Mytilus edulis: one gene and its partners. The protein of the gene in region 4 purifies or fractionates together with the protein of the main gene of each other region. This does not show direct contact. Links are inferred from orthologs where the notes say so. Each region holds a gene or a part of one and is shown on either strand. Other genes may lie near its edges. The genes, in order: histone deacetylase complex subunit SAP18-like, RNA-binding protein with serine-rich domain 1-like, putative RNA-binding protein Luc7-like 1 and apoptotic chromatin condensation inducer in the nucleus-like.

Region 1 (8,758 bases), on a different chromosome or scaffold from region 4:
TGTCTACCCTGATTACAAAATACTCTCAGTAACAAAGGACATGTCTGAAATGACAAGAAAGTTATTACTTATCATTGAAGAAACAACAAACCTAATTTTCTGTTTGTAACTGTGTTTTCCATTTTTTGTGAATTGGCTTAAATGTAATGTCCCAGAAAGCATTTGTTTAGAATGCATCCTTCATGTACATTGTACACACCCAAAAGTTTATACAAAAATTATTCAACAAAAAATTGTGAATACAACACAAGAAAGAAAGGCACTTTTTTAAGAAAACAATGACAACAAATGAGGCCCCTCATGGGGGGGGGGGGGGGTCCTAGTAATCACATAATCACCATTTTTTTGCCAATATAATCACATAATCATTAAATATTTCCTTATCTTTAGTAATCAAATAATCATAAACTAAAAATACAGTCCTAGGTAATCAAATAATCATGAAATATTTGGCTTAATAATCAAATAATCATTAAAAAAACGGCCAAGTAATCACATAATCAAAAACCCCATGAGGGCCCTCACAAATATTTATCATGTTTATAGTACTACAAGTACACTAACCAAAACTTGATTTAGATTTATTCAACACAAATTTTTTTGTCAGAATGTCACTTTATTTTGAACAATTGAAAAAAACATATTCATAGCAAAACACTTTACCAAAACATAATTAAGATTTATTCAACGCAAAAAACATTTTCAAAATGTCAATTTATCATATTTATTAGGAAAGGAAGAAAAAAAATATTTATAGCTTTTAGCAAAACACCTAATGGCTATTTGTCTGCAATTACTTGACATAAATATTTGACACCACATTTGGAAAAGTGATTGTTATATGGTGTCAAGGTCAAGAGGCGCAAATTCTAAGGTCAAGCAGTGCAGAATTCCAAATATCAATAAATTGTTTTAGACACTAACCAAAACTAAATTACAAAATTTTTAAACACAAAACCAATAAAAAGGATGCCAATGTGTATTGTGCAAAAGTGAAAGAGGGCAAACATGGAGTCAGCGCCTGGTTAAATGGGCACCTAGTCAGGTTTTGAGGTGAAAACACAGTCATTTTCGGTAGGTCTTTTCACCACTGAACACCCCAAAAATGTATTTTATCATTATAAATGTGATCTCAAAAAATTATTTAAGTTATTTTTTCAACAAATCATAAGATTAAGGGACCAAATATCTACATAGAACAGAAAAGGAGAGTCTATAACACCACACTTTTTGAACTCTGCAGACCACAAATATATTTTTTTTTCTCCATTTTTTCCCTTCTATGACTATGTCTTCAATAAAATATTTAATAGAAACAAATATCAAAATATAACTGATGAAATAGATCAAGGATACTTGAACTGATTACTATTAAATTATAAATGTATTTGTATTTTATTATTTATACTGTACACACACCGTGAATCCGGAAAAAATTATGCATCCGGAGACCTTTTTCTTTATATTGATTTTAGACTTTAACATACAAATAATGCTCATGAAACTCTTAATATTGATGAAAATAAACGTAATTTGAATTATTTTATCATTTTATTGTAATGCAGGTTTGAAATGGCCATAATTAGAAAAATGACGTTTGTGTACAATACTTTTCAATAACAATGGAAACTTATCTTTAGAAATGATTGTTATTTAAGGTTCATCATAACAAACGGACAAATATGGCTGTATTTACATGCCAAAAATTTCTCTGAGTACAGACTTACCTGTGAAGTTGGAAAAGTTTTAATGCCTGGCATCCACTAGATATAATAAAGTTAAATGCATTTTGTGTTTCAGAAAGATAAAGTCTCTTTTGGAATATGATGGGCATTCTTTTTTCCTTCATGCAAAAGGTCTGAAAATTATCTAAGTTGTGGTACAACTATGAGATGCTCCCTCAGGTAAAAAACCGGTTTGTATTGTTTTGATTGTCCTTAATTTACATGGACAAGAGGTATCTTCACAACTACAGGTGAGTTAAAGAGTTCATATGAGTCAGTGAGTGGACAGTATCAAAGTAATTCAGGTGTTTGTTTATTTTTACACCTTCTGCAGAAAGGGAAAAAAAATGCCCAGCAAAAACCAAAAAAAGATTTTATCTTTCTTTAACACAAAATGCATTTAACTTTTATATATCTAGTGGATGCTAGGCATTAAAACTTTCCAAACAGCAAAGGTAAGTCTGTACACAGAGTAGTTTTTGAGGTGAAAATACGGCCATATTTGTCCATTTGATATGATGAACCTTAAAAGAGTAGGGAAAACGTATTCTGCACTAATTTTGAACGCTGGTAATAGCGTAGTGATGTCAATGTGGAGTTTTCTCATGTGATAAGTACAAACACATATAACGAACGAACCAACATAATTTGCAACAAGATGACTGATAATTTGTAGACTACGGTAGGATATTTACATTTTTGTGCTAATAAACATGATAAATATTGTGCTTTTTTTATTGTCCAAATCTTTACAAATACTTATAGCTATCTAAACGTATTGGTGTGGATAGTAAATCACACATACAAATGTAATTAGATAGAGTGTGAGTTCGTGGTCTAGTGGTTAAGACCGATGGCTACAGTGCTGAAGGTCTCAAGTTCGATTCTCACTCGGGGTGCTAAAAATATCAGTACATCAGAAGGGTAATTTTCACCCTCTCACACACATCTCTGGTACCCAGACCGGAGTTTAAACTAGAATGGGTACTTAGGGGGCCGTGGTGTAGTGGTTAGTGCATCGGACTACTAACACAAAGGTTCCTGGTTCGATTCCCGTTTGGGATGAAAATTTTAGGAACTCAATTTTCGGCTCTCCCTTGACACCATCTGCGAGTATGGTCTTGAGGAAACGATGATAGTCCGTCGGAAGGGGACGATAAATGGCTGACCCGTGTTAAGAGAGAGCCATATCTCTTGCACGTTAAAGACACCCTTGTAGATTTCGAAAAAGAGTAGGCTAATGCCGCTACAAGGCAGCACTTGCACCCGCAAAGTGGAAAGGGATTAATATAAGTTGCAAAACTTGTTTCCCAATCCACTATAAATAAATATGTTTAAACTAAAGGGGGCCTCGGTTGGTCAAAGGTGTCCCCCCTACTTTGACCTGGAGATCAATCTTCTGATATCTCTCTGGTTTGTCTGTTTCCACCGAGTGGCCCCGGTGGTTCTCTCCGAGTACTTCGGCTTCCTCCACAATAATAACAGACTTCCCTGTGTCTTACACGCTCCCTTGGGCGGTGTTGGGTGGGGATTGTTCTGGTGGTGGGATAATATTGTAAAGGACACATCTCCATTAATCCTTAGGGAGTGTACATGGATCCGCTGTACCCTTGCAGTCAATCAAGGGGTGCGTCTAAATTGGCGGAATCTCGAGTACATACATACATAGAAACAAGTGCCTGTGCAAAAGGGACATAATTTTTTGGAACTTGCTGTGCTTTTATACCTTTTCTCTGTCTACTGGAGCTTCTGTCTCCTTCGGCTGTTCTTCCACAACGGATTCGACAGGCATTTTAAACTTTAAATACTATATTGCCTCTGAATTAAAAATAAACAGTTATTGTTCAAACCGGCAAGCTTTTTTTACAAGGGGAAACAACTTTTGTATGACGACAGTGCAGTGTTCATTACGTTACAGATATTGAGAAGTATGCCAAAGATAAATTCACTCTCTGGTTTTGTTAAGCAATTGATTTTAATCAAATCCATTGAAAAAAAATATTCAGAGAAAATCACAACCAAACAAAAATAAATAATTAGAAATAAATTATCAGGTTTAGAAATAAACTCAATCTAGACTCAGTTTCAACACTTTACTGTAAAATATTTGAAAGGGAAGTTACTCTAAATCCCGCGAAATTTATGAAGTAATCACTAACAGTACATTTAAAAAAAGACATACTAGATCATAACAGATTACAAGATTAGTCATAAAAAGTAACTTTTGTGGTTAGTGATCATTAGTGAAAAGTTGACACAAAAGGCGTAATGAAACTGTCATGAATTAATTAAGGGTAATACAGAACTTTTACAACAAGGAGTTATGAGGGGGAGGACAGGGAGAAAGGGGGTAGGAGGAATCTGGGTCCGTTCGCGCCCATTCACGTTCGCACCAACTAATGTTCGCCCCCTTTCACTTTCGCACCCTACATGTTCGCACCCAAAGTCTGTTAGCACCCTACATGTTCGCGCCCAATTTTAATTGGTTTTGTGTTTGATAACTTTGTAATCAAATTTTTGTCAAGTGTATTCTAATAAGTATAATTGTTGTCATCGTCTCAAAATAAAGTGAGACAGCATTTTGTTTGTGTTGATCAAATCTTAATCCTGTTTTGGATAGTGTATTGTTAAAAAAATTAATAATCCTTTCTAAATAAAGTGGGATTCTGTCAACGTTTTATTTTGTGCTGAATAACTCTTAATCATGTTTTGGTTAGTGTATTGCTGTAACTTTTGTTTCAAGTTGACTTGTTTTAAAATGAAAGGAGATTCTGACTACGTTTTTTTCTTCTGTGTTGAATAAATGTTATCATGTTTTGGTTATATAAATAGTGTATTGCTATATTTAATTGTGTGATTGTTTCAGGTCAAAGGGACCAAGCTGTTAAAAACAATTATCCGTTTTGTGTTTTTCATTTAAAATCTTCAAAGTTTTACTCATATTAAGCTATAAAAACATTCAGTATTTACACCAAAGCAACTTTAAACAACAATCATAATTTTCCAATTATTCAACTGGAATGTGAATTAAAATTGGGCGCGAATGTGTAGAGTGCGAATGGACCTTGGGTGCGAACGTGCGAGGTGCGAACGTGTAGGATGCGAAAGTGTTTTGGGCGCGAACGGACCTGATACCGGGTAGGAGAAAGGAGAAACGGGGTGGGAGAAAGGAGAAAGGGGGTAGGAGAAAGGAGAGGAAGGCTGGGAGAAAGGAGAAAAAATAAAATATCTCTCCTTTTAAAAAATGATCTAATATTTCAAGAAAAAATATCTCAAAAGGAGATGTTTTATTCTAATGGGAGAAAGGAGAACGGGGGTAGGAGAATGGAGAAGAGGGGTGGGAGAAGGGAGAAGGGTACCCCCTGTCCTCCCCCTCAGTTATTAGAAAAAAACAAAAAAACAAAAAAACTGAGAAAATAACAAGTATTTGACATAACAAAAATTTATAAATAAATTATTCTGAAAAAAAACTAACCAGGCATGTGCCTGAAAGTAAACATGGTTTTTTGTAACTGAAGAAGAAGGAAAAGATCCTTTAAATTTAAACTGAGACTACTATGATCATTATAATTATTATACAGTTGAGGGCTATTTTGAGAGGAGTAAAAAATTGGGAGGATTGGAAGACTTGGCTAGAAAAATATAATCCTGATCTTGAATCTTTTGAAAATAGCTATTGTGACCCTGTTACCGAATAACAAAAATGGGTTATTCCTCTTGATTTAACATGAATGCTATTGAAAATCTGTATTTTTGAAACTGAGTATTCAGTGCCAAAACATATTCATAGAGTGCAAAAAATGTTGAAAAAAAAGAACATCTGATTGTCCTTTATTTTGCCAAGTGAACAATCAAGGCTTTTATGAGCCTCTTGTTCTTTAGTCGTTTACAATATTCATTTTAGTGTTAAAGAATATGATGAGAAATAGATAGAATTAATGATAAATGTATATTTTTGTTTGCAGGAATTCCTTAGTGAGATGGACTGAAGGAGTTATTGTCAAAAAACACAAAACTGTTAGGTAAATATTTTGTAAAATTAAACTCATATATATGACACAACAGTCTGATTAGTCCTGATTAGAACCAGCCCCCACTATTTACTTGTTTCCACTAACGCAAGTGGATAGTGTGGGCTGGTTTTAATCAGACTGATGACACAAGATAACATGTATGGTCTGCACTTCTGTAAATATAAATTAAACCATGATAATACCCATAGGATCTCCTTTTATGGCTAAAACTGTAGTTTCCTAACCAAGTATATCCTGAAATGAAAAGTTGAGATGCACTGTTATCAATGATTATTATTTGCACATGTCTCATAGGGCTGTGCGGCATAATTAAGATATGTATATATGCATTGAATATCTAAGGGTTTAAACTTATACTTGAATTCTGTTCTTAAAGTCTCTCCCTTTACTTTCAGTCTTCCTGAAAATTCAATTTGACTGGTATCTAACTGTAACACTAAGACATAAACATGTCAAATTTTCAAGTTGTGTCTCAATGAGATGAAACATGAAGAAGGAATCCAGAAGGTAAACAGAACAAAATACCTATATAATCTTTCAAAATGGGCATGGTTTGTAAATCAGCTATTTTTACTAAGTGCAAACTTATATAAGCTATATTTCTGTACATATTCTGTACAAACCACATCAAGATTATTCAAAATGCAAACTAGACATTTTATCAATGAAACTAAAAGTATAATACCAGAGTAAATATTTTTATCACTTATGATAGTATTTGTTCCAAATTTAGCATGATGGACTAACATTATGGTATATATACATAGTTGGTTATATATTTGAATGTCATTGTGATATTTGTAGTTATTTGGTTTAATTTGTTTGAGGATCTAAATGGGAGATTCGTGTTATGTGTTCTGATGCCCTCTTTAAATAATGTATAAACTACTACTGAGTACTCTATTACAAATGTTTTATAAAGTTAAACTATGCTAATTAGAAAAATTGACCTCCCCTTTTTCTGAATATAAAAAGACCTGCTAGGTTTTATCTGATGACCTCAAATGTTTGTTGAATAGACTACTTTCGAGTTATGTCCTCCACAGGAAAAGTTTGTCAATTTTGTGCATCTTTATTACGTCATTTACCAGATAGAAGGAAGTGCCTGTATCCCTGCTCTCTTCAAGTTTATCTAGAATCTTTGTGATTGTCATTATGCAGGATAACCTAGAAATAATGTTTGTTCTTTTTAACATTGTTACTTAATCACAATTTCCTAATGACAGCAGTGCTGAATCTTAATTAAAAGAATTTAATTTGCCTAAAAATTCATGCAAAGACGTTTTATATTTTGATGGAAATGCAATAAACATGAAATTTGTCTATTTGGCAGCAAAAAGGGGATTTCTAGTGTTTTGATTCCCTAACTTTGGGAGCAAACATACATGCTTGCTTATCCTTATTTTTATCAACATGTGACATCCCTTCAATACAGTCAAGTGGTTTATTGTATACCAAGCTTAATCTGTGTGTTTATAATCACTAAATTATAATCATATATTCTTAAATCTCATAAATTTTCAAAAATATATTTAAAAACCAGTGTTAGGTTTCAAAAATATTTTAACCATTATAAGGCTAAGTTGTAGTTGCTACTGATTTTAAGGATATTGGGGTTTATCAGGGTTGGAAAATCACCTTTTTTGACAGTGAGCTTTAAACATGTAATGCAGACCCCCTTAAACCATAGAACTGATTATCAATTACCACCTAATGTAAAACGATACTTCATTTTGCCTTGAACATCACTTTTTATTGGCCTTTCTGAATCTGACCAAAATGGCTATTTTCTATGTATGCATAAATTAACATTATATTTATTTGAAAATTAACACATTTTTTTAGATAATAAACTGTATTACCATATTGAACAATGTTGTAAAATGTAAATGTTTTATTTTTAACAATAATGATACTTTTAATTTTAAATGTTCATTGTTACTTTTTTTTAACAGGTTATATAATCTTACTTGTAATTTGAATAAAAGTGTCTTTTCACTATCGGTAGATTTATCGATATTTGTCTTTCTGAGGTATTCAGGGAATTGTATTTTATTGTTGAAAAAAAACTTTCATCAATACCATGGTGATTTGAATGTAAAATTGTTAATAGCAGAGCTGTGCATCTATTATAGGAAAATTGTATAGCTGTTTAGTTGTCTATTGTAACAGGGACAGCCCTTTATCATGCATCAGCAAACATAAAGCTGTTTTTAGGCGGCAACATCGCTTTTCAAAAGAAGATTGGACAAAATAAACGGTGAGTATTATTTGTTTTTGATTTTTATCAATAGATTGTTATTATGATCATATTTGATTTTTAAAAAAAAGTAATAATAATTTAAAGGTAATGGAATTGCTTGTATAGGTAAGCTGTTTAAATGTTTCAGTAAATAATGCTATAAAGAATTAAACTTTTACTATCTGATTTGATAGCATTTTGATGCACCCCAAAAATGATCAAGTTTAAATGTTATTTAAAATTTTAGAGAATATTTTCATTCAAGCAGATGAAAGTTAAAAATTGAGTTGCACTTTCATGTAAAGCATATATTTATTTGGGAAAGTTATATCAGATTGGTGAGTTCTTTATTTACAAAAGGTAATTTATGTATTTGTAATTTCTGTCCTTATAAGCATTAAAGCATCTTTCAAGACAACATCTTGTAAGTTGTATTTTATGTCTTGAGATTTCTATCATGTATGAGACTCATAATTTAGCATTTTTCGATATTGCTATTTATTAGTATCCTAACAAAAGAACCATGTTTTTCTAATGATTAAAACGATTCTCTCAGATTTATTGAGGCTTTTTAACTTTTGGAATATTTGCTCCTGTAAAAATAAAAAAATCTTAATGATCTTTGAACTAGAAAGAATGGAGGGACAGTTGCTATATATTCATTATCCACAGTCCATCATCCTCATTTGGTATATTTTATAAAAATCTCTGAAACTACTAAAGCCAACTGGAACCAAAATCCTTGTGTTATCCATTGA
Region 2 (8,024 bases), on a different chromosome or scaffold from region 4:
CTATCAATATTAGTTATCAGAGAGAGGTGAATTTCTTGAATCACTGCGTTCTAATGAATTCTGTTGAGTAACCTTTAGGGGACTCAAAATTTCTGTGGAAAAGGGTTAACTATTAAACTTTCTATTAAATATGCATTTCAAATTTTGAGGAATGCTTAATCAAATTGGCTTCATTTTCAATACAAAAGCCAAGCAAACAGATACTTTTACACAATCCTAAAAGAACTGTAAAACGAAAATTGTGTCCCCTCTACATGTATTTTGTTGATTAACAAAATAGCCTTACATGTTTTAAATGACAGTAAAAGCAAATGCTTTTAAAAACTGTACATCAATAAATTTAAGTAAATTTAAATACACAACTGACACAACTACAGCATTGTAATGTTGAAGGTTGTCAAGACTCAGAGACTTGAGGGCATACGATAGTTACAGGGGAGGTAATGACGTTGCTACCGTAAATTGTTATTTTCGCAACGTCAAACTACAGTGTATGACTTATCGGGAAAGATTCAGTTTTCGACTGATTTTATCATTCAAACTTATTTCACTTGAAAACGAGTTCATGAACCCCTCTTTTTCAAAATGCCATTTGGTTTGATTACGCAAGATTATTTTTGCCAATTTTCATGAAAACGTAAATAGTGCAATTTTTTAAAATTTGATAAATAAACAGCAATAAATGATGTTTTTTCTACAATTATTTCTGAATTAAAAAAATGAATAAATTTTTAGGATACTTATAAAATACATAAATTACAAATTATTTAACAAAAACAATTTGTGATCTTTTAAAACAAAAAAGTTATGTCTTTCTTTCGAAAAGGAAAATACGGCCACAAGTCCGAATTTTTAGCAAATATACAAAATTTTGACCTCATTTTACTCAAAAAGTAGCACATGAAGGCATATTTTTTATTACATATTTGATTTAATCAGGTAAAAATAGTTTATATGGAAATTTTTATCAAAATGTAAATACGGGACCAAAACTGTATTGTATGCCCTTCAAGTTGTTAAATGCAGTCTTCACGCTTAACCGGGTATCCGGTCGTTCCGGCCCCAAACCGATCCGGCCCCAAGTCAATCCGGCCCAAAGTCGATCCGGCCCAAGTCGATCCGGCCCACGTCGATCCGGCCCCAAGTCGATCCGGCCCCATAATAAAATAAGAAATAACTATATTGATCTTGGAGGAAATTGTGACACAGTATAAATGGAATTTGCAATCACACCACATCTTCCTATATCGATATATTTTTCATAAATTTGACAGTATTTTGAATAGTTGTGTGTAGAAAAAAACACAAGTTATATGAGTATCCATTATTCTTTATTGCAAGAAAGGAAATGTTGAGTACATATAACAGAGAAGAATTGCTACAGCAGATGACAATATTTAATAACAGTTTCGTATATTTTTTTTATTGAAGAATTTATTAGACTGTCATTTCAATAATTACTTACTTCCATGTCTTCTCTTTTATAGATAGGATTCGGCAAATCTAACAACATTTCTCAATTTAAGAAATTTTAAGAACTTAAAAAGAAAAACAAAGTTTGTATGTATCAGCTTGGGGATCGGCTTGTACCGTTGTGTATGTAACTATTTGTTATTACACAAGATGAAAAACTTGTTAGGATCACAGTCAATTGAAAGAAAACGCTAATTACTGCTGATTAATGTTGATGTCTGAATTGTTTTAATATAATTATACCCAATAATCTTGAAAACTTGTAATAAAAACATAATCAACCTAGTTGTTTGTATACTCATCTGAAGAAATTTTTTTTTTTTACCGTACGCCTTTACATTATAATAAAAATCATAAACATTTATGAATTACTTTAATATATATCTTTATTTTTTATCCTTATAAATATACTTTTTTATTGGGGCCGGATCGACGTGGGGCCGGATCGACGTGGGGCCGGATCGACGTGGGACGGATCGACTTGGGCCGGATCGACGCGAAAGCGCTTAACCGTACGCAAGTCCTACGGCATTGGCATGTAAAATTGCTTTCAGACTTGTAAGATTCTCCTCTACAAGCCAACAGAATACTACTAAAATTTTCCAAAAATTGGGCTTCTGGCTTGTGGACTCAAAAGTTAAGCATGAAGACTGTAAATGTCTTGTCATTTGGGCTCTGGTGGAGAGTGGTCTCATTGTAAATAGTGGTACTGTACATTTTGTATATATATGGATTCTTCATTTCCAATGACAACAAAAATCAAAAGATGTTAACTCTGTTGTTGGACCAGTATAGAATAGTGAACTGATATTAATCAATATTGATTTTTTCATTCATCATGATATATCAACAAGTATAAACTATACACCTTATCGCTAATCCCGGCTGCTTGAACTTTTGACACATACAACAATCACTTTTCCATTATGGCGTCAGATATTTTTTTTTATGACGTCAAAATTTTACTGGAACCTGTGTGATATTCAGTAATGGCGGACAAATAGCGATAAGGTATATCCCGGCTGCTTGAACTTTTGACAAGACAACTATTACTTCTTTATTGGGGCGTCAGACAAATACACCTTATCGCTATTCCCGGCTGACCCGTCCGTTTGAACTTTTGACGTCAACAACAATCACTTTTCCATTGTGGCGTCAGACATTTTGTTTTATGACGTCAAAATTTTACGGGAACCTGTGTGATTTCCAGCAATGGCGGACAAATAGCGATAAGGTGTATAGCTATAAGGTGTATTCATTCTTTCAATCAATTTATCAATATAAATTAACCTTTTTTGGCATTAAAATGAGTTTGTGCAATTAAATATTTGCATAGGACTTCTGATTAGTTCTGTTACTGCATACTACAACCACGAAATGTAACAGGAAACAAGAGAAATTATTTTAACAACAGATACAGAAAAGGGGGGTCAATGCTTAGAAAAAAAACCCATTCCCAATTTTTCTTAAATTCTAACGAAAAAGGGTAATTTTAATTATTAAACGTTTCAACAATCGATGTTGACATTTAAATGCAGGTAAAGTAGATGGATGGCTACGATATTAATGGATTAGAAAAATTAATTCTTACATCTTTGAGGTAGAGGTTCTGACGCCGTTACACTTTAAAAGCTCGTTTCTGATTGGACGAAATATGAAGTCTTTAAATTGCCTGCCAATGAGAATTTCTTTTACTTTAAGGAATAAAAATGGCAGCCTCCATGAGCTCAATTGATACCAAAGTTATTTTGCATGAAATTTCATGTCAATTTTTTGAAATGGTGCCGATAAGGCGAATAAAATGGAGAGTTAGTAGTCATATTATGTTTGTTTTCCGTCAATATACTTATATTTATCCAAATGTTGAGTTTTCTGCGCAGGGCTTACTATACAAAAATTATCTTTGGTCTATATCGAATCCGGGTCCGTTCGCGCCCATTCACGTTCGCACTCACTCATGTTCGCACCCAAAGTCCGTTCGCACCCTACATGTTCGCGCCCAATCTTAATTGGTTTTGTGCTTAATAACTTTGTAAGCAAGTGTATTCTTATAAATATAATTGTTGTCATTGTCACAAAATAAAGTGAGACATTTTTTTTTGTGTTGAATAAATCTTAATTATGTTTTGGATAGTGTTTTGTTAAAAAAAAATAATAATCCTTTCTAAATAAAGTGGGATTCTGTCAACGTTTTATTTTGTGTTGAATAACTCTCAATCATGTTTTGGTTAGTGTATTGGCTATTGCTATAACTTTGTTTCATGGACTTGTTTCAAAATGAAGTGAGATTCTGACTACGTTTTTTTTGGTGTGTTGAATAAATTTTATCATGTGATGTTTGATTTTTTCCTGTTCAATCAATAATGACAGTGAAATAGTGAAATAACAATTCACTTTTTGCAGCCTAAAAGGTTCAATTTTGTCAAATTACGCTAAGAAACATTGATAATTAGTAATTCACTTGCAAGTGAATGAGTCGACCTCTTTAAATCCGTATTCATGTGAACTTCAATTTAACCCCTAGCTAGAGATTGACAACGCATGCATTGTACGTCATGTACGTGTACTGGTTATTTAAAAAAAAAGAATGTCAACAATGAAAGTGAAACTACGGTAAATCATTTGATTACTAATTTGATGCACATATAATCATTTCTTATACGGTTAAAAACAATGAGAAACATCTATTTTTGATCTATAAAATAAAATCAAACAGACCTATAAAAATCCAATTGCACATGTTGGTTTAATCTAGTCATTTCTTTATTTATGTTTACAAAATGTACATCGCTTATATGGTCATCTGAGGTTAAATCGATAGGTAATTAGATGGCGTCTGGACTAAAATACACACGAAACAAACCTATATATTATCTACCCCATGCTCTGTAAACTGTTTATTTTAGACTATTGATAGTTTGGATAAAATATTACATTGCTATAAATCAAATATGAGAATATGAGTCAAATCGGTGACCATGAATTTGACAGCTAGTGCCCCTTTAACATAAGTTTAATACTATATGATAAACAAAAATTACCATTTGGACATTGAGCAAACAGTTACACCAATCAATAAATCCTTAAAAATTGAAATAGTATTATAATAGCATCTGTTTTATTTTTTACTCTTTTTTCCAGACAGAGCTTATTACAAGTGCACAGATTGGTCCAGAGGAACAGAAGGCTGTCCTCAATGCCACAGTTTTAAATGAACTTTGCAAAAAATATCCTCCGTCAGTATCCTACCAAAAAGCTTTCACGAAGACCCTACTTCACAAGGTTTGATTAATAATCAGAATCGTATTTAGTTAATGTTAGAATACATGACATATTGGTTTGAGTTGTCATGTCAAGCAAAATTAAATGTTAACTGTGCCCGGAAATTTAGAAATGATCCATGTAAACTTGTCGCTCCTTTAAATAAACTTATTCTAAAACTTAAAAAGGTTACCTATTCAATACTGTAATAAGATCATTGAATAATGTTTTTATTGGTATAAATATTGATTTTGTTATCAGTAAATTAAAAGCTAAATAAATATACATATTCATTGAACTACAATCTGTCGATACTTATTATTTGAATCTTAATCAAACTCTCTCATAACTTTCATGATTATGCCAAATAAAAAAGTATGTTTGGTTCCAGTTACATCTGAAAAAAAGTTAGGTAGGTTGGAATTTTTTTTATATTTTATTATTTTTTTTTTATATTGAGTCCATGGGAGCAACATTCTGACTTTAACAGTGCTTAATGAAAAATGAAAATAAAATCTTTAGGGTAGGCTATTTTTAAGCCGAAAAAAGTATAGACGGTAGGGTTACTGGAACCACACATATATTTTTATTTGGCCTTATTAGAAATGCGAGAAATCATTACTGAGAGGGATCAACTAAAATAATTTGTGTCCACTGAAATGCATGTTGTATTGGATTTTTTCGTGCAAAGATTTTTGGTATATTGTAAGAGTTATCTCCCATTTCAATAAATGATGTGAATAAAAGTTGATGTCAGATATATGTGACAGTGAATGAGACAGCAACCCTACATGTATGATACATAAAATCATCAATACAAATTTAAAAAAATCATATAGGGTAAACTTGTATAAACATACATACATGTTTTCTATGTTAATTACTCATTAGATCATAAAATATTTAAACATTGTAACTGAACATCACATGAAATATGATTAAAGATAGCTCATGGTATGACTTCAAGTGTAGGACGTTGCCAGGACCAACAATAGAGTATCTACAAATATACCTGTAGCTGGGCATGAATCATTTAGGAATAATTGCAAAGACTTGTAGAGTTTTGATATGTAACTTGTCAATTTCAGTTAGAGGAAAGTGAGGTTGAAATGTGTGATGAAATCTACGAGGTTTACACAGACCTTTTACAACAGACTGAAGACGAAGATGACATCCTTTGTTACAAAACATATCATCTGGTAAAATCAGGTTTCTACAAGGTTCCCTTGTTTTTGTTTTAATTATAATACCCATGATGTCACATTGTAGACATGTTTTGATTTACATTTCTGACACAAACAGATACCTACATGTACATGTACTTTCTATTCAGGGATTCCCCTGCAAATCCCATTTGAAACTGAGGTTAAACAAACAACTACAACTGCTACTTGTAACAGCATCTCATTATGATGACATAATTTTTTGCCAGAAAAAGTGTAGGGTTTTCATGAAGTAAACACCAAATATCATTCAGATAAGGCTACTGTGGAGTATACTTTTTGGTGCTTCATTACTAATCTAATGAGTCAACATTCTTTATTCATTATTATGAAATTTGTTGATCATCTTATCAGAAAAGTAAATACATGTATTGGTAATGCTTTTATATCTCATAATAATATCTTTTAAACCAGGATATGTAAGCTTGCAATTGATGATTTCAAAATTAAAGAATCATAAGGATTATAGCATTTAATCAAGATACCAAAAGCAGTCTTCAACATTTGATTCGAGGTAAAAATAAAAAGCCTCAGAAAATTATTTGTGATTTATCTTTGTTCTGTCAGTTCCAATATTTATTTGTATTTGTTCTTGCAGCCAAATAGTGAAACAGTAAGCCTACAAGAATCAATACATCTCATATCCCAAGGAACAACTGGACTGAACACATGGCAGGTATGTCAGAGAGAGAGGCATTATGGGAAATGTAGTTACTTGATGGAGAATATGAGTATCACTTTTATGAACAAATACTAACATGAACCAATAGAGCTTTTGTCACGACTGTAAACAAACTTTTATCCTGATGTTACAACTCACACATTTTTCCTTCTAATACTGGTATATATATATGTTTAAAGTCATAAGAAACCTCAAATCAAAAAAAAATAATGCATATGATTTTAATAACTCAATGGATAGTTTTCATTATAAAACTTATGTACATGTACTTTTTTCTGAAGAAAATTCTTTAATTTATTCATATTTAGAAGAAGTTTACTTTATTTGAATAGCTTCCTTCCAGCAAGCAATTCCCCCGAGATATTTTCCGTATGCAAGGTGACCTCAGTGTGACCCATCTCGTAAAAATCCGGTGACCACAATACGCATGGATGTCCTTAAAATAAACTATTATCTGAATTTACATGTTAAACACGTGCTCAATTTCCATGCTTTTTTGTTTATTTTTCGTCAATTGTTGACAAACAGGTGACAATCGTTAAACTTCGGCTTCAAGACACGAACTTTAATTACCTGCCATATTTTCACAACAACACTGACCGATTGAAAAAAAAATTGACAATTATACGAAATTTACACGAAAAAAATGATAAATTCGAGCACAGAAGACTAAGTTTATGATGTTTGTATGCATTTGTTCAAGAATTGGAAGAACATTATTTTTCACCGGTCACTCGTTTCTTATGACTTTAAGGATAAAACAGAAGAGAAACCAAATTCTTCAAATAAAAAAAAATTAAGATGTGACATAAATATATGATGACTCTTTAGAAGTTCCTGACTTTGAACAGGTAAATATTTTATGCACTTTCAGAATGAGATCAAACAAATACGTGAAATATACATTCAAGGGGTTGACTCTGTAAAGTGGGTCGACTACAATGAAAACAGAAAATTTTGACGGTTCATTGAAAATGAGGCCATGTTTGATAGAGGCAGATATTTTGCCTAGTGAAAATTTGGCAATACCCTTCATGTGGTATTGGTTGAACATATCCATTGTGACAGTAGTAGTAGTAAATACACACAGCCAAACAGTTCTCTCTTGTGAAGAAGTTGAACCAGGCAGATAAAGAAACTCTGATCAATTTCTATACCCTGAGGAATCTGTAGGTTTTCAAGCAGTGATTAAATATTGATTTTAACTGAATGACCTTTTGTGAGCTATACATGTTTAAAACATTTTGATTCTTATAGGCTGCCTTACACCTAGCAGAATGGGCATTTGAAAACAGCGGCTTGCTAGAAAATAGGTAGGGATTCTACTGATTTTGTATAGAAGTTTAACACATACATAAAATTCTTGATTACTTGTGATGTACTCA
Region 3 (7,849 bases), on a different chromosome or scaffold from region 4:
GTACATAAACTAGCTTACGTTTCAGGTTCCGTGTTTTGAACAAGGTTGTTAATGGTCCGCAGGATACATGTATCTTTTCAAAGGTTCCTTTTGCTATACATGTATATAACTCAAAACTACTGGTCAGTCTTCCCAAGGTTATGTCCAGAGGATACATGACCTAGCTTATGTCTTAGGTTCCGTGTTTCGGACAAGCTAGGTTATTATTGGTCAAAGGTCACTTCTGTAATTGTTTTATTCACCATGCAGTAAATGTTCCAAATATAAAAAGAAAAAGATGAGGCATCGTTGTCAATGAGACAACTCTCCATGAGAGACCAAAAAAACGTAGAAATTAACAACTTTATGTTACCGTACGGCATTCAATAATGAGCAAAGTTTATATATTACGAATGTTAAAACAATTGTAACAGCATATAATGTATACATAAAAATAAGAAATTCTGGCATGATTGCCAATGAGACAACTCTTCACCAGGGACCAAAAGACACAGACGTTTACGACTATATGTCACCTTACAGCCTTCAATAATGACCGAAACCCATGCCGCATAGTTAGCTATTAAAGGCCCCGAATTACAAATATAAAACAATTCAAAGGAGAAAACTAATGGCCTGATTTATTTACAAAACAGTGAATGAAAAACAAATATGAAATACAGCAACAACGAACGATCGATGCGCTCCCCTGAGTTTGGTCAAGCACAAACATGCAGGACGTGACGGGGTTGAACTAGTTTGTTTGCGAAAAACCCTCATCTTAATCTGAGACAGTGGTGTAACATAAAAAGCTTAAGAACCAAATATAAAAATCAGTGGAAAAGTAGTTCAGTGGTTGTTGTTAGTCCGTGTCTGTCATATTTGTTTTTCGTAAATTGTTTTGTTATGAATTAGGCGATTAGTTTTTTAAATTGTTTCAATTTTTTCTCATGTCAGAAGCAAATATGTAGAAAAACCGAAAAATCGTTTATTTAAATGCAAAAACTTCAATAACGAGTCGACTTCCTATTTTTGTCATGTCTTATTTGTAAATCATGGCTTACTGAACAATATATAGCATCTAAGTACCTATCTATCTGTTATAGTTTTTGAGATAATAGGCAACAATGCAAAAATATTGGAAAAATCTTCATTTATGGGCCGAATAACTTCAGTATAGGTTGTCAATGAAGATCTCGATCATTAAATCTCGAATTGTGTATAATGGTGAAATGTCAGAATACTTTTCATGCAATATCGGTGTAAGACAGGGTGAAAATATGTCTCCTTTTTTATTTTCATTGTATTTGAACGATCTTCAACAGTTTATTGAAGAAAAAAATGTATGTGGTTTAAATTGTATTACTGATGAAATAGAGAAGAGTTTGATATCTACTTAAAACTGTTTGTGTTATTGTACGCAGATGATACAGTGTTATTTTCGGATAATGCATCCGATCTACAGTTGCAATTAGATATATTCTTTGAATATTGCAGTACCTGGAAACTAAACTTGTCAGTGAAATCACAATATGATCTTTTTGATAAAATTGTTAAGCCAATTCTCCTGTATGGGTGTGAGATTTGGGGTTTCAGTAATACTGATATTATAGAAAAAGTGCACTTAAAATTTTGTAAACTATTATTAAACCTTAAGAAGTCGACACCGAATTTTATGATTTATGGTGAACTTGGTATTTATCCCATGTCTTTATATATACAGCTGCGTATGGTTAATTTTTGGTCAAAAATGGTAAATGGGGATGATAACAGGATTGCTAAAATACTATACAAATATATGTTCTTGAAAAGTTCTGACAACCAATTTAGGTCAGATTGGTTGAAATACGTTAAAGATATATTAGATAAATGTGGATACAGCAATATATGGTTGTCACAAGGAAATTTTAATCCAAAGTGGTTGGGTATTAGTTTAAAACAAAAGTTATCTGATCAGTTTCAACAGAAATGGAGAGCTGATATTGACTGTTCGTCAAAAGGTTTGGCCTACAAATTGTATAAACAAAATTTTGAATTTGAGGAATATCTGAATATTTTAAGTGATAAAGATAGAATAACATATTGTAGATTTCGAACGGGTAACCATAAGTTACCAATCGAAACTGGTAGATGGAATAAGATTGAGCGAAACCTTAGATATTGTAACTTATGTTATTGTAACGAGATTGGCGATGAATTTCATTACACTTTGCAGTGTAGTTCTTTGGCAAATTTTCGATCCCAATATTTGGATACTTTTTTCTTGCACAGATGTAACATACTAAAATTTGAAAAACTATTTCAGTTAAAAATTAAAAATAAGTTGAAAAAGCTGTGCAAATTTATCAGGGTTATAACTTTTCAAGTGAGTCTTCCTGGTTAATCACCACTCTTCGCTACTATACTGTTTATTTTATATGATTTGATATTTTCATCTCATCTTGTCATGTGTGTTTGTGTTATGTTATATAACTTTTGATGAACTTCTTTGTACCATTGTAATTTTATGGTGTTTGAGAAATAAATAATCTTGAATCTTGAATCTTCAGTTGACTTATTTGTAGAATTGTCATCATCTTCGTTTTTGACGTCTAATGTTTTTGTCTATCTATTACGGTTTTCGAGATAAAAGACAAAAAAAAATATGATAAGTCCTTTGGATAAGAGCAATGAGTTCTATAAAAGTCTGTATACAGTGGACATCATGTAAATCTCAACATTCCCAACAAATTTGCTCCTGTCACATTTTTTTCAGACTATGGCGGCTTTGAAAAAGAAGTCATTGTAGTGGATGGAATAATTTTCGATGATAACGCGGTTCTGTTGAAAAGTCGTCGAATATTAAAAATTCGGAGAAACTGAATCCTTTAGATAAAATTTGGTCCAAAGGTAATTGACATCATAAAGGACACGAATGTAAACCAAAATCACGTGTATTCAATGTCTGTTAAAATGAAGCATGGTTAAAGAATTGAAATTGTCGAATTGATACCCCTTTTAGTATATTGTTTGAATTGTTGTAAATTTGTAATGTAAGCGTGTTTTTTTTAGCTTTCTATGCGATAAAGTCGGGTTTTTGCTCATTTTGAAGGCCCCACGATGACCCCTCAACCTGATTAAAATTCAGATCTATCAACAGTCGCACCCTCGGTTCGTATTATGAAAGGAAAAGGCAATCAGAGATCTATATTTTAATTAGACTGAGCTTTTAATTACTTGTTTGTAATGAAAAACTAAGAATGTTATGAATTTTAAAGTGAGAACAGCATATTATCAAAATATTATATCAATTAAATTTTATTTATCAAAATACAACCCAAAAAGTCTGAATACCTGTGAAATAAAACAAATCATAACGTAACGTCGTTTTAGTCGTATGTTTCGGGTCTCAATTTTTACAAAACTGTTTTAACATGTTATCTTAGATTTTTCAATGATTGTATATTAGGGGACGACCATTTTATATTCGGGGGGGGGGGGGGGGGGGATCAGGAGGATTTTGAAAATAAATAACTCAGCCTTCATAATCACAAAAATAAATGGTTTGTTCTGTGGTAGTTTGAAAATAAATTACCTGACTTGCAATGTATTGAAAATAAATAACTCAGCAGGTCTAATCGAAAGTATGAGATGGCACCAGATTCTTTATAAATTCATCTTTTCCCCCCAAAAAAATCGGGGAAACACTTCCTAATCTTTTTAATAATAAAAGTATAAATATTATTTAAATATACTTGAAATGTCTGAAAATTGGTTTCATTTAACTTGAAGAATATATTGTCTCAGGAAACCTAACCTCACTTTTATTATAACAGGGCCGTAACTACATTGAGGCAAATGCCTCATGTAGGAAATTTCAAAACTAAACGCTTGTCTCCATATCAAATTGTGTTCAGGGCGAGTGCCTTGCAAGAAGCAAGTTCTGTTTTCCCTCAGACGTAGCCCTGATTTTTCGGATCAATGTTTCTTATTTATTTGTCTTTCGTTCATTGATTGCCCTTCTGTATTCTGTTAGTGTTGCGTTCCTTTTGTAATCTAGTAATCTTGTTATGAACTTGATCGTGAGTTTAAAAAAATCGAATATCAAATGGCCGTCCCCTTAGACTTAAAAAGACCATTGCCAAATTAATGGACAGTGGAAGATAGTTGCCACCTTCTCATTTGCAAGCATACCACTACATAAGTTCCTTATTTTATACTAATGTTGAAAGGTTACTGAGAATAGAAATTTATGAGATTTTCAAATATATTTATGAGTATGATCAGAGACATATAATATGTCTCTGGTATGATATATAGTACTTATCATCGGACTGTTGGTGTTTTGGTTTTTTTAACGTCTACGCACTTCTGTCTTGTCCGCTGTCTCTGTTACTTTTTATATCCAATACAGACGGATCAACAGATTTCTGACAGTAAATTCGTTTTTTAATCTATTGAGACATGAATTTACAATATACCTCATAAAGATAATTTACCTGACAGGAATAATAAAATCATAGACGTAACTCGATATATTCTCAAAATAATCATACTTTTTATCCAGAATTTAGGGTACAATACCGGGATTAGGACGACTTCTTCTAAACAGTCCTCGATAGGTGGCGCTCTATCCGCCTACGTGTTGACGCCATGAATGTGTAGTTGTTGAAATATAATTTGCTTAGACGTTCATTGTAGACAAAAAATAAATAGACAGTACAATGTCTGCCCAAGAACAAATGAGGGCGATGTTGGATGAGCTGATGGGCACAGCAAGAGATGGTATGTTGAAGACTCTAAGGACAAAATCATGCATGAAAACCAGGAAGCAAACAGGATTTGAAAAGCCTTCCGACCCAAGCCATTAAAATTTATTTTCTAAATGTTCATATCATGGTTGTCGGAATACAAAATGTTCAATTTGAGAATTTTAAGAAAACAAGAATTTGTTGCACTGTTTTCGTTTATGAACTTGTGTTTGCAAAAAATCTTGTTTTGCCTTTTGGCGTCCTTGACCTCTTTAATAAGGGGAGATAACTAAAACTTGTTTGAGAAATTTGTATATTGTTATCTTTGTCACATTTTAATTTTTCGGGATAGTAATGATTTTTTAAATGATGAGAAATTAAATTTCAACTTATGTTTGAAGTAAAGAAATTTAATTAATACTTATATATTATAAGTTTGGCTGTCAGATGAATCAAATATGAAATATTATTAAAGTCGGTCTATCTATGATTATGAATTGAAATGTAGTTTGTACCTCTCACTTTATATATGTAGAGTTGTATACATTTCTATGAGTGGTTTGGTATATGTTTTTATTCAAATGCTTTAGTTGTCTGCTTTACAGTAACATTTGTTTTCAGGATTTTTTTAATGTGTAACTGTTTTATACATATTTTTTATTACTTTAAAAGCACGCTAAATATGTATTTACAAATGTATCTAACATAAATATATTTTTTAATTGAGTGATAAGGTAAAGTAAGAGATTTTCAGACTGGAATTTATCTTGTAGTTTGAGATAAAACAGTCATAATTAATAAAAGTTATCAAATATTGCATTTGTTCTCATTTTACATGTTTAAAGAAAATATATTTTGTTTCAAATATTTGCATGTATTTCAAATATTTAAATGGTATGACTCTAATATTTTATGCAAACAGTTACACATTGAAATACAATAAATTCATGGGTTTTAATAATTTGCATCCCTATTTTTCAAGGGACCCCTTTCATATGGTCAGGTGTATTGCAGTCAAATTTGCCAAGGGTTTTAAGGTGATGAAGTCCAAGCCGTGAGTTGAAATTAAATAGCTTTCATTGCAGAGTACTATTTCTATTGTAACTTTGTCTATTTCATGTATTAATAAATTTTCATTCTCATAAATAGCATAAATCAAGTCAATTTATCAAAAGGTAAAATATGTTAGCAGGTAATGTTAGAAAGGTAAATTTATTAACAGGTAATTTTAGGGTAAATTTATAACAGGTAACTTTATAATGTTTAATATGTAAACTTTAACTTTTATTAAGCCAATATTGCATACTGAAATGTATTTGATAATTTCTACACTTAATTAATGAGCATGTTGGCAGCTTTGAGGAATCTTTACTGTTGCAGGTGAGAGGAAAAGGTGTAAAACTAAGAAAAAAGCATGCCACTGACAGATGATAAAAGGATCGCAGTGTGTATAATATGTAAAGTACAAACAATCTAATGTTTGAAAATACTGTCAAAAGATTTGGTTTATGTTAATGTTTCAAGATTATGACCAGAAGTTGTGATCAAACATGCTTTTAGAACAGTAAAAATGATAATAGGACAGAGTTTACCCTTTGTTTCTAAAACTTGATTTTGAAAAATTTCTGTGTTCATAAATTTGTCAAAAAGGAAAAATTTGAATGATAAGTACAAATTTAACTTGGAGAAACATAAGGAACAACTAAACTCTGCTACTTTGAAAACTTAATTACTTTGATTAAATGTATAGTTTACTTTAATATTCTGATGTGGTATTGTAAAAAACACATGAATCCTTTGTACAACATTTTTGTACAATATATGAATAAGTTTTTTTAATCGAGAACAAGGATATTGGATGTCACCAGTAAAACTGTAAGTACTTGTATGGTTCATAAATGTTTTTAAATAAATAAATCTTAACATATCAATTATTTTCAATTTATTGCAAGAGCAGATATGTTGTGTGTATTTTTAAAAGCCAAATCTTTTGACAGAAATATAGATAAAAGTACATGTCGCAATCTATGATATTCTAAATTGTTTTCTATATTGAAGTACTGCAAAATTTGGTAACAAAAAAAACATTAGAACTAATAGTTTGCAACTTGTAATGCTTAATTATCATAGTAATGTATAACAGTTGGCATAATGATATTTTTAGACACAACACAAGGAACTAATGTTTTGGCTTCTGAAATGTAAAAAGAATGTGTACACTTAATGTACATAATGGCACCTCTTTTCTGAAAACCAGTCAATTTGGAAAACAAAGATTTGATTCCTTTACAAAGATTTTTGTTATTTGTAAAATACAAAAGATTTCATTCAGTCATTATGCGAACTGATTATAAAATGGGCAAAATATCAAGGTGTAAAATTTGTTGAATTTTCTAAGTTTCTAACATGTTTGTCGAATCATATAATTTCTAGGAGATCGATCCAGATACAAAGTGAAGTTTGACGATCCTCGGGTATGTAAGAGTTTCCTGCTAAGCTGCTGTCCACACGATATTCTTTCTAGCACGGTAAGTGATTGTATATAATGGAAAAACATGACATGGAAATTGGTACGTACATCCCACATAAAGTTTGATAGGGTTTCCTTAGCCATGTTAGCTACATGTAGAACACATTTTTTTTTTATTTGGAAAAACATGTTTACAATGTTTTTTCAATTGGTTTTGACAATTGATAAATGTATATACAATTTTATTGAGGCAATGTATCATCCCTATTTTCCCTATTAAAAGAGCAAGTAAATGTGTGGTTAATTAGTAAATACTGATTGGAATAATTACAAAAGAGGTGCAAATTTTCAGTAAGAAGATATCAGAGGAACCAAAGTACATGCAGACATCTTTGAGATATTATTTATATAAATACAGACATATGCTTGAATCAAGACAAATTCATTGTGCTATTCTAAGTTTCAAAACAGTTAGGCTAAGTAAAATATCTCTACACAATATAGCTTTTTAAAAGTTGTCATCAATTACAAGATCTTTCCATGTTTCTGATAAAAAAAAAAACATCTTTAGAACAGACATTTGGGTATAAAGGAATTAGTTTAAATTTAACATTGAATTTTGAAGGTTTAAGAATCATGGAAGGAAAATTAAATAAAAGGTTAAAAATGA
Region 4 (8,870 bases):
TAGCCCGGTGAGTGGGCCAACGGCCCACGAGTGAGCTGGCCGTAGGCCAGCGAACTTGCTAGGGGGGTCTGAGGGCATGCCCCCCATAAATTTTTTGAAATTTAGATGCAAAATCCTGCATTCTGAGGCATTCTGAGGCCTTTTAAGAAGATGTTTTTAGTCTGAAAAATAACTATTCATACTTGTTTATATCTTCATAAAAAAAAAAAAAATTAAAAAAAAATTAACATGAAAAAAATCTAACGGCAGGAATTTGATGGATATTTTTCATAGTCATGTCCAAATTGCATTAAAAGTCTTGTCTAATACCAAATAATTTAATTTACAAAAATTAATAAGACTAGATAGACATTTGTTTTTAAATATATAGTAGGAATCAATGAATTGTTTTAACATTTTTTTTATTGTCATTTTTTAACAAGAGGTCTCATTAACCCCAAGATTGCATCCACTCTCGTTATGGAATAGGTACAATACCTCTTTCAGTTTGTCTTTATGAATAACAAGTTTGAATGTTTTCTCCAGTGTTTTTTTTTTTGTCAACATGTATAAAACATTTCATTGTTTTTAATTACAAATTGCTTGGCCTGCCTTCTAAATGATCTTCTTTCATTATTATAATATCAAACTCTAGAGGGTATTGACCATCACACAAAAAGTCATATAGCTGTTTATATTCACCAATTTCCATTTTTGTTTACATCTCTGTTGTCCTGATTTAAATTTCAATTTAAAAATGTGTTATTCTGTCCCGTGAACGAAATTTCACAGAAGACACAATTTCATGGGACACTTTTTTGGCTTACAAAAAACTCATCAACTAAAATAATCAAATTAAAACGATGTTTTTGTTTAATTTTATTTACATAAATAAGTTGACTTGTCCCCTATTTTACTTTTGGTTTCTGATGCTGAGTCATGTTCCAACTGATTTGTCTCATGACGAGTATTAACCCTGTTCTTGTTAATGCATTATGACATGCATACATCCCGGTACGTGCAATGGACGCTTTCTGATACCAATGCCTTAGTCTTGTTATCATCATCACCCCTCAGCTCTCAAAAAGAAGCTAATCACATTTAATATTATTACCGGAAATTTACTTTCGTTTCAGTCCATTGCAACTGTAATGATAAATCCCGAGCAATACGAAAAGAATTATGACGACATGACAAACGCTAATTCTATAAAGACAGAGAAGATCGAAAAGTTTTCATCACCACGTGTACCTTTGGAGTAAAGGAAAATTTCAACAGGGAACCTTTCAATGCTCTATTTTAAGAACGAAAGGGCATTTCCAATTTAAACTATTTACACGACGACTATGTAATAGATAAGGCTAAACTATGCACACGATTTATCAGGATCTCTGATGTGATTATTAATAAAATATAATAAAACCAAAATGTATATGCTGTATAATTAATGTTTATTTCAAAACGGATTATCTTGAAACGTGGTGCATTCTTACTTTATGGGCCGAGTAATCTTAGGCCGAGTTGACTATATATAGCGACTGGTTTACGGTAGAAAATTTACCCTCCAGTATCTGTATCTGTATGTAAATAAAGAGGTCATGGAACCAGTGTAGACAAAATTCGACGAAGTTGTCAGATATGACCGGCGTTTGGACTGTATTTGCCGAAAGTACAACAGATTGATGTTCAATGACAAATAAATTTACTAGCCCCTCGGGCTACCGCGCCACGGACATTTACTAGCCCCACACAAAAGTAACTAGTCTCGGGCTGTCGAACCCTGTTGTTGTCTTTTTCACACATTCCCCATTTCAATTTTCTATTTTATGAATTTTTTTTAAATGTCATATATATAATGGTTATTAATTAAAATGTGCAATCTCCCCATCCATGTTTGACTCAACACCAACTTCAAGTCAAGAAAATTATTTTTAACTAAATCATGTTAAGAGTATTCCATAAAAAGATGATTGGAATCAGTTTGTGCAAATCAACATACATAATTTGTTATATTTCTGATATTACAGTTTTGTAGTTTTCATCTATATTTGATAATGAGAAAAGATGAACGTGTTTAGTCAGTTCGTTTGTTGATAATCATTTGTTTTTTGCAGTTATTGTTGTGTCTATGATTGAAAGATAGATCTGTTTCCACAAGATGACTTTGCGTGAAATAAATGAAAAAGTATGTTTGGATTTTCTCTATATTTTAGCTCTATCCTTCAGACTTGTACTGAATTTGTTGATAATTGTTTTAATGATTATTAGAATTAATCCATTCACATCCACAACCATTAATTTCAAGGCAATAATAAGATATGAAGAATAAGTCCTTATGGTAACAGTAAACTTGTAGTTTTATTGGAGTACTGATTTTTCTTACCACTGCATTTATTGGCTCATTATCATCTTGATCTAGAAAGAAAGAAAACAATACTTAAACAATATAATACATGTGGCATTCAACAAAATATAAATATACAATAAGAATCTGGATTTATTTCTGAGATTCTTATCATTGTACTGTCTTTTTCTAGAGGTTTCATTCCAGGACCTTTTTAGCTTTTTATTTGTACATGGCAAAATTTATGAACACTGTATGGTGATATTTAGTTTTTTTACACCCTTTCCTGTGATGGACTGTTTTCTGATTGGAATCATCTAGTTATCTTTATTTTGGATAATACATTTGATGATCCATCTCACTACATATTGTACATGTTATATGAGTATTGATTTGTGTAAAAGTAATAATCTAATTGTTGCTAATTGGTTCTGGTAAAAAAAAGTTTAATCAATGGAGTAAAATTTACATAATATACTGTATAAATCTCCTAATTCAAGCTGCCAGAAAGTTATTCTAAATGTTCTTTTGTATGCAAATAAAGAAAAGTCATTACAAACAATCATTCTACCAGTTACTTACTTTCAGGATTTTCATCTGTCTCCTGTTCTTCTCGTAGGAACTGAAATAAACGAAGACAAATGAGCATGGTAGTAAACCATATTATAAAGTGATTGTCACAAGTTCTAAAACCAAGAAAAAAACAACAGAATCAAGCCGACATTGTTAGTGCTTTGACTTTCTTTAAAAGAGATATTTATTGTTTTTTTTTCCATTTTTTAGTCTATAATTTAAGAATTATCTCCCTTGGGTAACAATTTTGGCTTCGACTACAATTATTACTGACATTTTAAACTGTACTTTAACAAGGTAAAAGTGTGACAGATATAGAATGATGAACATAGCTTTTTGAAATACCAAAAACTACAGGCTAGCCGCTACAGCAAATTATATTTTGATTTTTTTAATATTTTGTTTGAATCACTTTGATACACCTGATACATTTTTCAGATGCTATATTCATACGGTTTATTTTGCATTACCGTTCTGAGTCTCTCTACAATATCTTCCTTTTTTCCACTCTTAGAAAGACCCCTTTTATCACATTCTTTCTTCAAATCTACCACGCGATAGTCATTTATGTCTTTTCCCCTTAAAGTCGGAGCATCAGTGTCCGCCATTGTTGACATGTGCTGTCGTTGATTTCCGTAATAGTGAAAATTACTGTTATTTTTTATTCATTATAAGTTTCAATTAAATTAAATAAAGTAAAAACACAGTGAATTCTTTATACAATTGTGCCTACTTAGAAAAAAATACTACATTTAAATTTCTTTTGTCTGTCGATAGTTTCCGTATCCCGGAAGTGACAAAAAGCTGTCTGCAAAATAAATGAAGCTGCAGGTGCCCTAAAACAATAATCTGTTTAAATACAAACGAATATTGAGGATGACAGCTGTAAATACGACAATCACAACAGTGATGAGAACAGTAGCAGATGCGTTAAAGCTAGATGGAGACGGAAAAGTTCAAGTATATATGATAACTGTGAAGTTTGTGATCATTTCCAAAGTTCAATTAGTAATCACAAACCAACTGTTGAACAGTTGAATGATTTATGAGGAAACATGTACATTGAATTTACAAAATTTAAAGTTTCTTTAAATTTCTGCCATGCTCTGTCAGTTTCAACTTGCCCCTGTTACTGCTGACACAGTCTAGACTATGCCATTCAAACCTTATGGCTTCAACAATAATAGTGGACATGGTGGAATATTACATATTCTGTTACACTTGACCATCATGACCATTGGCCTCATACAACAGCCAAAACTTCTTTGTGTCATCAGACATCTTGTCTTGTTACTTGAAAATTCTAAAGTCATATGAAACAAATTTCTGGTGATTTAGCATAAAGGTTTAGGAAAAGTGAAACCACAAAAATGCTGAACTTCGTGGGGATTGTAGAGTGGTCAGTGGTCCAGACATACTTTTGATACAATTATCTCTGTGATAACATCTTACATTAATTTGTATGATCTTTTACAATAGATAAATCAGCTGTCAGATCTGTAACAATTCCATCTTCATGCCTTTTATATCATGTACTGTGTTACGACGCTAGATTAAAACTGACAAGGAAAGGTAACACCATGCCACCAAAAGCTTTATTATTTGTAGAGCCTAGGTGGTTGTGTGGTCTAGCCCTTATGGCATAGTGCAAGGCAAATTTGGTGCCACAATATCTCAGTGGCATGAATTTCGAAATCCTGGCAAGGGAAGATAAAAAAAATTGTGAAAGTTAAATTTACAGATCTAACATTATTGGGCTGATGTTAAGAAGAGTTATACATACTTATACATAAACATTTATATATTCATCATGTTCATTTAAAAGTATCAATGATTTTTTTTTAGGAATCATATATGAAGTATTTAGAATGTGTTTTGAGAATTAGTACAAAGTTGCTACAAGATGCTAGACTTGGAGGTAGAGTTGATATATATGATCCCTGTATTCTATTTTATAAACTGTGATATGACAATGTATGATTGTTGAGTGTTACAGTATGGTTAGCATGAAGGCTTTACTAATATGCCCACCTTAGTCACCTAATCATATGGAAAAGAAGGAATATAATTCATGACATAAGACATTTGAAAATAAACAAAAGTGCTTTTATAAGTGTCCCTATCTTTAACAGGTCGAGAACTCTAGATTTCCTGACGTCCAAATATATTTGCATAGTAATTTCCAAAACACAAGGCCAATACGGCCTTGAAAAACTGACCAATTGACTCAATGAACTACAATGCATTGTGGGCTACTATGAGTCTACACCATTTGAAAACATGTGGAATTAGTGGAAAAACTGTCCACTAACATAGTGTCTGGGACTCTGAAAATAAATGTTTTTGGTCTACGAATATGTTTATTGTAAAATATATAACATAATCTTCAATTTGCATGCTCAGATTAAAAAAATATTGTTTACAGGCTTCATGATTCGACTTTCCTTTTCGCCTTGTAAAAGTAGTTGAACAGGTTTTTTCCATTGTTATGCATTGTACTTGTGCAATAATTTCACGGCGTGAAACAGTGAAATTTTAGATGAATTGACCACTGTCTAGTATGAACAATTTTTGAGCTCTTTTAAACCTGTATAATGTCATTCCAAAAACATTTCTGTGTAGAAAAACATGAAAACTGGCACTGAAACACTTCTATCTGTACTGGATGTGTAAACTTTTTTTTATCAGGACCTGAACTAAAAGTAAGAGCACCATAATATTCAGTATGCTAGATATAAGTGTTATTAAAGCGGTGACGGTAAATAACTTAACATACATGTACTTTGTATAGTTTCATCCATCGATAATGTCTGTCTGTTGCTTATTTAATCCCAAAATATACCTCAGAGGTATTCTTATCGTTTGGCTGCTGTCCAAACGACGTCAAAATCTCCAATTATTTAAATCCTCTGGATCATAGTGGGTTCCATATTACCTATAAGTTTTTCTGAAACATGCCGTGCATATAGAACTAAGAAGATGAGGTATGAGTGCCAAATGAGACATCTTTCCATCCAAGACACAATCTAGTAAAGTAAGCAACTATTGGTTCAATGTTGAAAAGTAAGCTATAAAGGGACCAAAATTTACTTGTGTAAAAGAATGCAATTTTAACAAAACATATCAATGCTTCCACTTTGTCGCACATAAAATGAATAGCATCATTAATGGTTTTAATAAGGTTGGCAAATGTAAGAGTCCGTTAAAAAAAATCCAATGTTGCTATTAGAAAAAAATTGAACTTTGTAAAGACGAAAAACAAAATGAAACTCAGTTGCTGCTTCACTACCTACAGAACAAAAGGAAAAGTTTGAAAGTCCCAAATACTGAAATATGTCAAAAATCAATTATACCTATAGTTTTTGTTAAAACTGTCAGACAAGAATTTAAAAAGATCTTGTGCAGTTTTAATGAAATATGATGGATCATATAGGTTTTGTGCATGTTCTGTATCGCTAAAATTCTCAATATGGAAATATTACTTAAGTGTTCTACAGACGTCAGTAAATATTTCATAAGGGAAAACCGAACTTTCTGAAAAATGTTTGTATACAAAAATAAGGAGATGTGGTATGATTGCCAATGGGACAACTATACATTTAAGCTCAAATGAAATGGATGTAAGTAGTGATGGGCATCTGTAATGCCTTCAACAATGAGAAACACCCATACCGTATAATTGGTCCCTATTCGGCCTATTGATGAATATTCGTTGTTGTTTCTTAAAGACAAAGGAATAAACACATGCTTTTCCTCGATTTAAATTACTTTTTAATCATAAAAGAAGGTACAATATCATAAAATAAATTTTGTGAAAACTTAGAAAGTTTTGTGATCTCATCAGATCTTTGACAAACTCCTAGTCTTCGCCTTTTTACGAACACAAAATTCAAGGATCATATATTTTTCTTTAACTATCTTCCAGTATACAAAATTTGCTGCCCTCATGCATATTAGCACCGGCTAGTTTTGACGGCTTACTTTATACTAGTAAGTTAGTCTGATGGGTAATTGTGTTTTTCACTGTTGTTTCGCTGCTGTCTGGTGGACGAATACCTGAAATCTCGGTGTCATCATCAAACATATTAATGGCTGTACATCGGGTAATTCAAACACTTGTTTCTTGGCATAGAAACAACTCTTTGTTAATCTGAGCATTGAACGAATACTTTATATCCTGAACTATAAATGTGGATACAAAAAATGAAAAACTAAGCGAAATTGTTAATCCCACATTGAACAAAAAATAAGTTGTATTTTAATAAATAACACGCATGTTTGGTTGATTGTAAACACGTAGTAGTCCATCATGCATTGTTACTCATTTAGTGGATTGGTCAAAAACCCAGGAAAAAATAAATTGCGTCACACGTAAATAAACAATAACATTTGCTGCGTATTGCAAGGACATAAATATATATTCTCCGGGTGTGAGAATTTCTCGTTGCATTGAAGACCTGTTGGTAACCTTCTGCTGTAGTCTGCTCTATGGTCGGGTTGTTGTCTCTTTGGCACATTCCCCATTTCCATTCTCAATTTTATGCTAATTAATTCATTTCTGTATAAGGTAGTGTTCCTGACCTGTTAAAGTCATTGTGAAAATTTCTTAAAATCATTATTTTAATATTCTATCTATGAATTTTGTTGAATGTGTAAATACAGTCTCATTTATTAAAAGTCAAACTGGGGATGTAAGATTATATTTATGAGGGATACTAGTAGTATGGTATATTCTTTGGAAGTTTTAACAACCATAAGGAGTTGTGCAATGTTCTTTAGATAAACAAAAACCAATATAAACAACCAATCTTTGTGCATCTATTGGACTGTGCTGGATGTATGAATACAGTTGTGTCAAATAAAGGGGTTTCTTGAAGAGCAGGCACACTTCATTTAGGTTGAAAAACATTGAACATCTCAATATAGGTTTCTGTTTTCTAGTTTTTGTTTGCTTCAACCAAATGATATGAAACATATACAAAATGCTTATTTCCATAATCACAGAGCAAGTTTAAATTTGGGGGATGTCACTTTTTTCAGTTTTCTAGTTATGTCCCTTTATAATTTTGTATGAACACAAACAATTTTTTTTTAGGTGGGTGGGGGGTGTAAATAGATTTCCATAAATTCCATGTGACAATAACTTAGCCTCAATCTTAGTATCATGATAGTTTTATGTTCAATTCAGCAGTTTTTTTTATACAAACTTTATATATATTGATACTGTTTTTGAAGTTAGCCTTAGAAGTTTTGAATATTATCAGCTTTGCTTTCCTGTTCATATTATCTTAGAGAATTAAGCTTCACCTAGGCTGTATGCCCTTTGTTCTTTGACCACTGGGCAAATTCATTGTGAAATTTACCAATAATCACATATAATTTTAGGTAACTTGAATGTCATCATTGGAAAAGACACAGTGAAGATGGTAAGACTTGGTCAGCAGTGCATGGAAAGGGTTGCTGCAGTTGTTACTCAGATTGGTAGGTGAAGTATGTTGGTGGTTTATTATACTGGTCCACAGCCTCTTTATATGGTCTGACTTTATCACAAATTATTGTGTCTTTTTAGGTGCAAATATTAATAGTTTTAACTTTCTTTGACCATTTACACATGTTAGGAAAGGAATGTACATGTAATTAAGATATTGATATTCAGAATCAGATTAAAACTATCACAAACAATGATGAAATCAAAAATACATGTATAACTTCAGATGACATCAAAACATTTTTATTTAAGAGTAAACTATATAATGTTTACTACTCTTAACATTCATCATACACATTATTTTTAAAGAATTGTTAAATATCTTTAGTTATTAACATGATTAATGAAATCTCCTTTACAATTAATTAAAAAAGAATCATTCAAGAATGAATATTGACTAAAAAGACTTTACTACTTCTTTTCATTTTAAAGGCAAAAAAGTCTTATGATGTGTATTTTTCAAACAATTAAAGCAATGATTAATTT

What was found.
Region 1: the proteins of apoptotic chromatin condensation inducer in the nucleus-like (region 4) and histone deacetylase complex subunit SAP18-like fractionate together in Homo sapiens (co-fractionation; 7 studies listed by BioGRID and IntAct, with this or other methods). This does not show direct contact. The link is inferred for Mytilus edulis from reciprocal best matches to the Homo sapiens genes ACIN1 and SAP18.
Region 2: the proteins of apoptotic chromatin condensation inducer in the nucleus-like (region 4) and RNA-binding protein with serine-rich domain 1-like purify together in Homo sapiens (affinity purification with mass spectrometry; 6 studies listed by BioGRID and IntAct, with this or other methods). This does not show direct contact. The link is inferred for Mytilus edulis from reciprocal best matches to the Homo sapiens genes ACIN1 and RNPS1.
Region 3: the proteins of apoptotic chromatin condensation inducer in the nucleus-like (region 4) and putative RNA-binding protein Luc7-like 1 purify together in Homo sapiens (affinity purification with mass spectrometry; 3 studies listed by BioGRID and IntAct, counting the BioPlex papers as one, with this or other methods). This does not show direct contact. The link is inferred for Mytilus edulis from reciprocal best matches to the Homo sapiens genes ACIN1 and LUC7L2.

What each region holds. Positions count from the first base shown.
Region 1 is NC_092353.1:33,376,155-33,384,912, forward strand, and holds the start of histone deacetylase complex subunit SAP18-like, read right to left. Parts: upstream 3,619-8,758; 5' UTR 3,517-3,618; coding exon 3,451-3,516; intron 45-3,450; coding exon 1-44. UniProt on the Homo sapiens protein: Component of the SIN3-repressing complex. Enhances the ability of SIN3-HDAC1-mediated transcriptional repression. When tethered to the promoter, it can direct the formation of a repressive complex to core histone proteins.
Region 2 is NC_092352.1:76,793,317-76,801,340, reverse strand, and holds the start of RNA-binding protein with serine-rich domain 1-like, read right to left. Parts: upstream 3,017-8,024; 5' UTR 3,002-3,016; coding exon 2,979-3,001; intron 1-2,978. Other genes in the region: protein-lysine N-methyltransferase EEF2KMT-like, read left to right, coding at 3,183-3,281, 4,615-4,755, 5,823-5,933, 6,556-6,633, 7,897-7,952. UniProt on the Homo sapiens protein: Part of pre- and post-splicing multiprotein mRNP complexes. Auxiliary component of the splicing-dependent multiprotein exon junction complex (EJC) deposited at splice junction on mRNAs.
Region 3 is NC_092352.1:56,820,016-56,827,864, reverse strand, and holds the start of putative RNA-binding protein Luc7-like 1, read left to right. Parts: upstream 1-4,561; 5' UTR 4,562-4,682; coding exon 4,683-4,743; intron 4,744-5,691; exon of another isoform or gene 5,692-5,763; intron 5,764-6,089; exon of another isoform or gene 6,090-6,153; intron 6,154-7,142; coding exon 7,143-7,237; intron 7,238-7,849. UniProt on the Homo sapiens protein: May bind to RNA via its Arg/Ser-rich domain.
Region 4 is NC_092348.1:35,035,617-35,044,486, forward strand, and holds the start of apoptotic chromatin condensation inducer in the nucleus-like, read right to left. Parts: upstream 3,524-8,870; 5' UTR 3,514-3,523; coding exon 3,367-3,513; intron 2,946-3,366; coding exon 2,906-2,945; intron 2,395-2,905; coding exon 2,363-2,394; intron 1-2,362. Other genes in the region: VPS9 domain-containing protein 1-like, read left to right, coding at 3,773-3,856, 4,742-4,814, 8,282-8,377.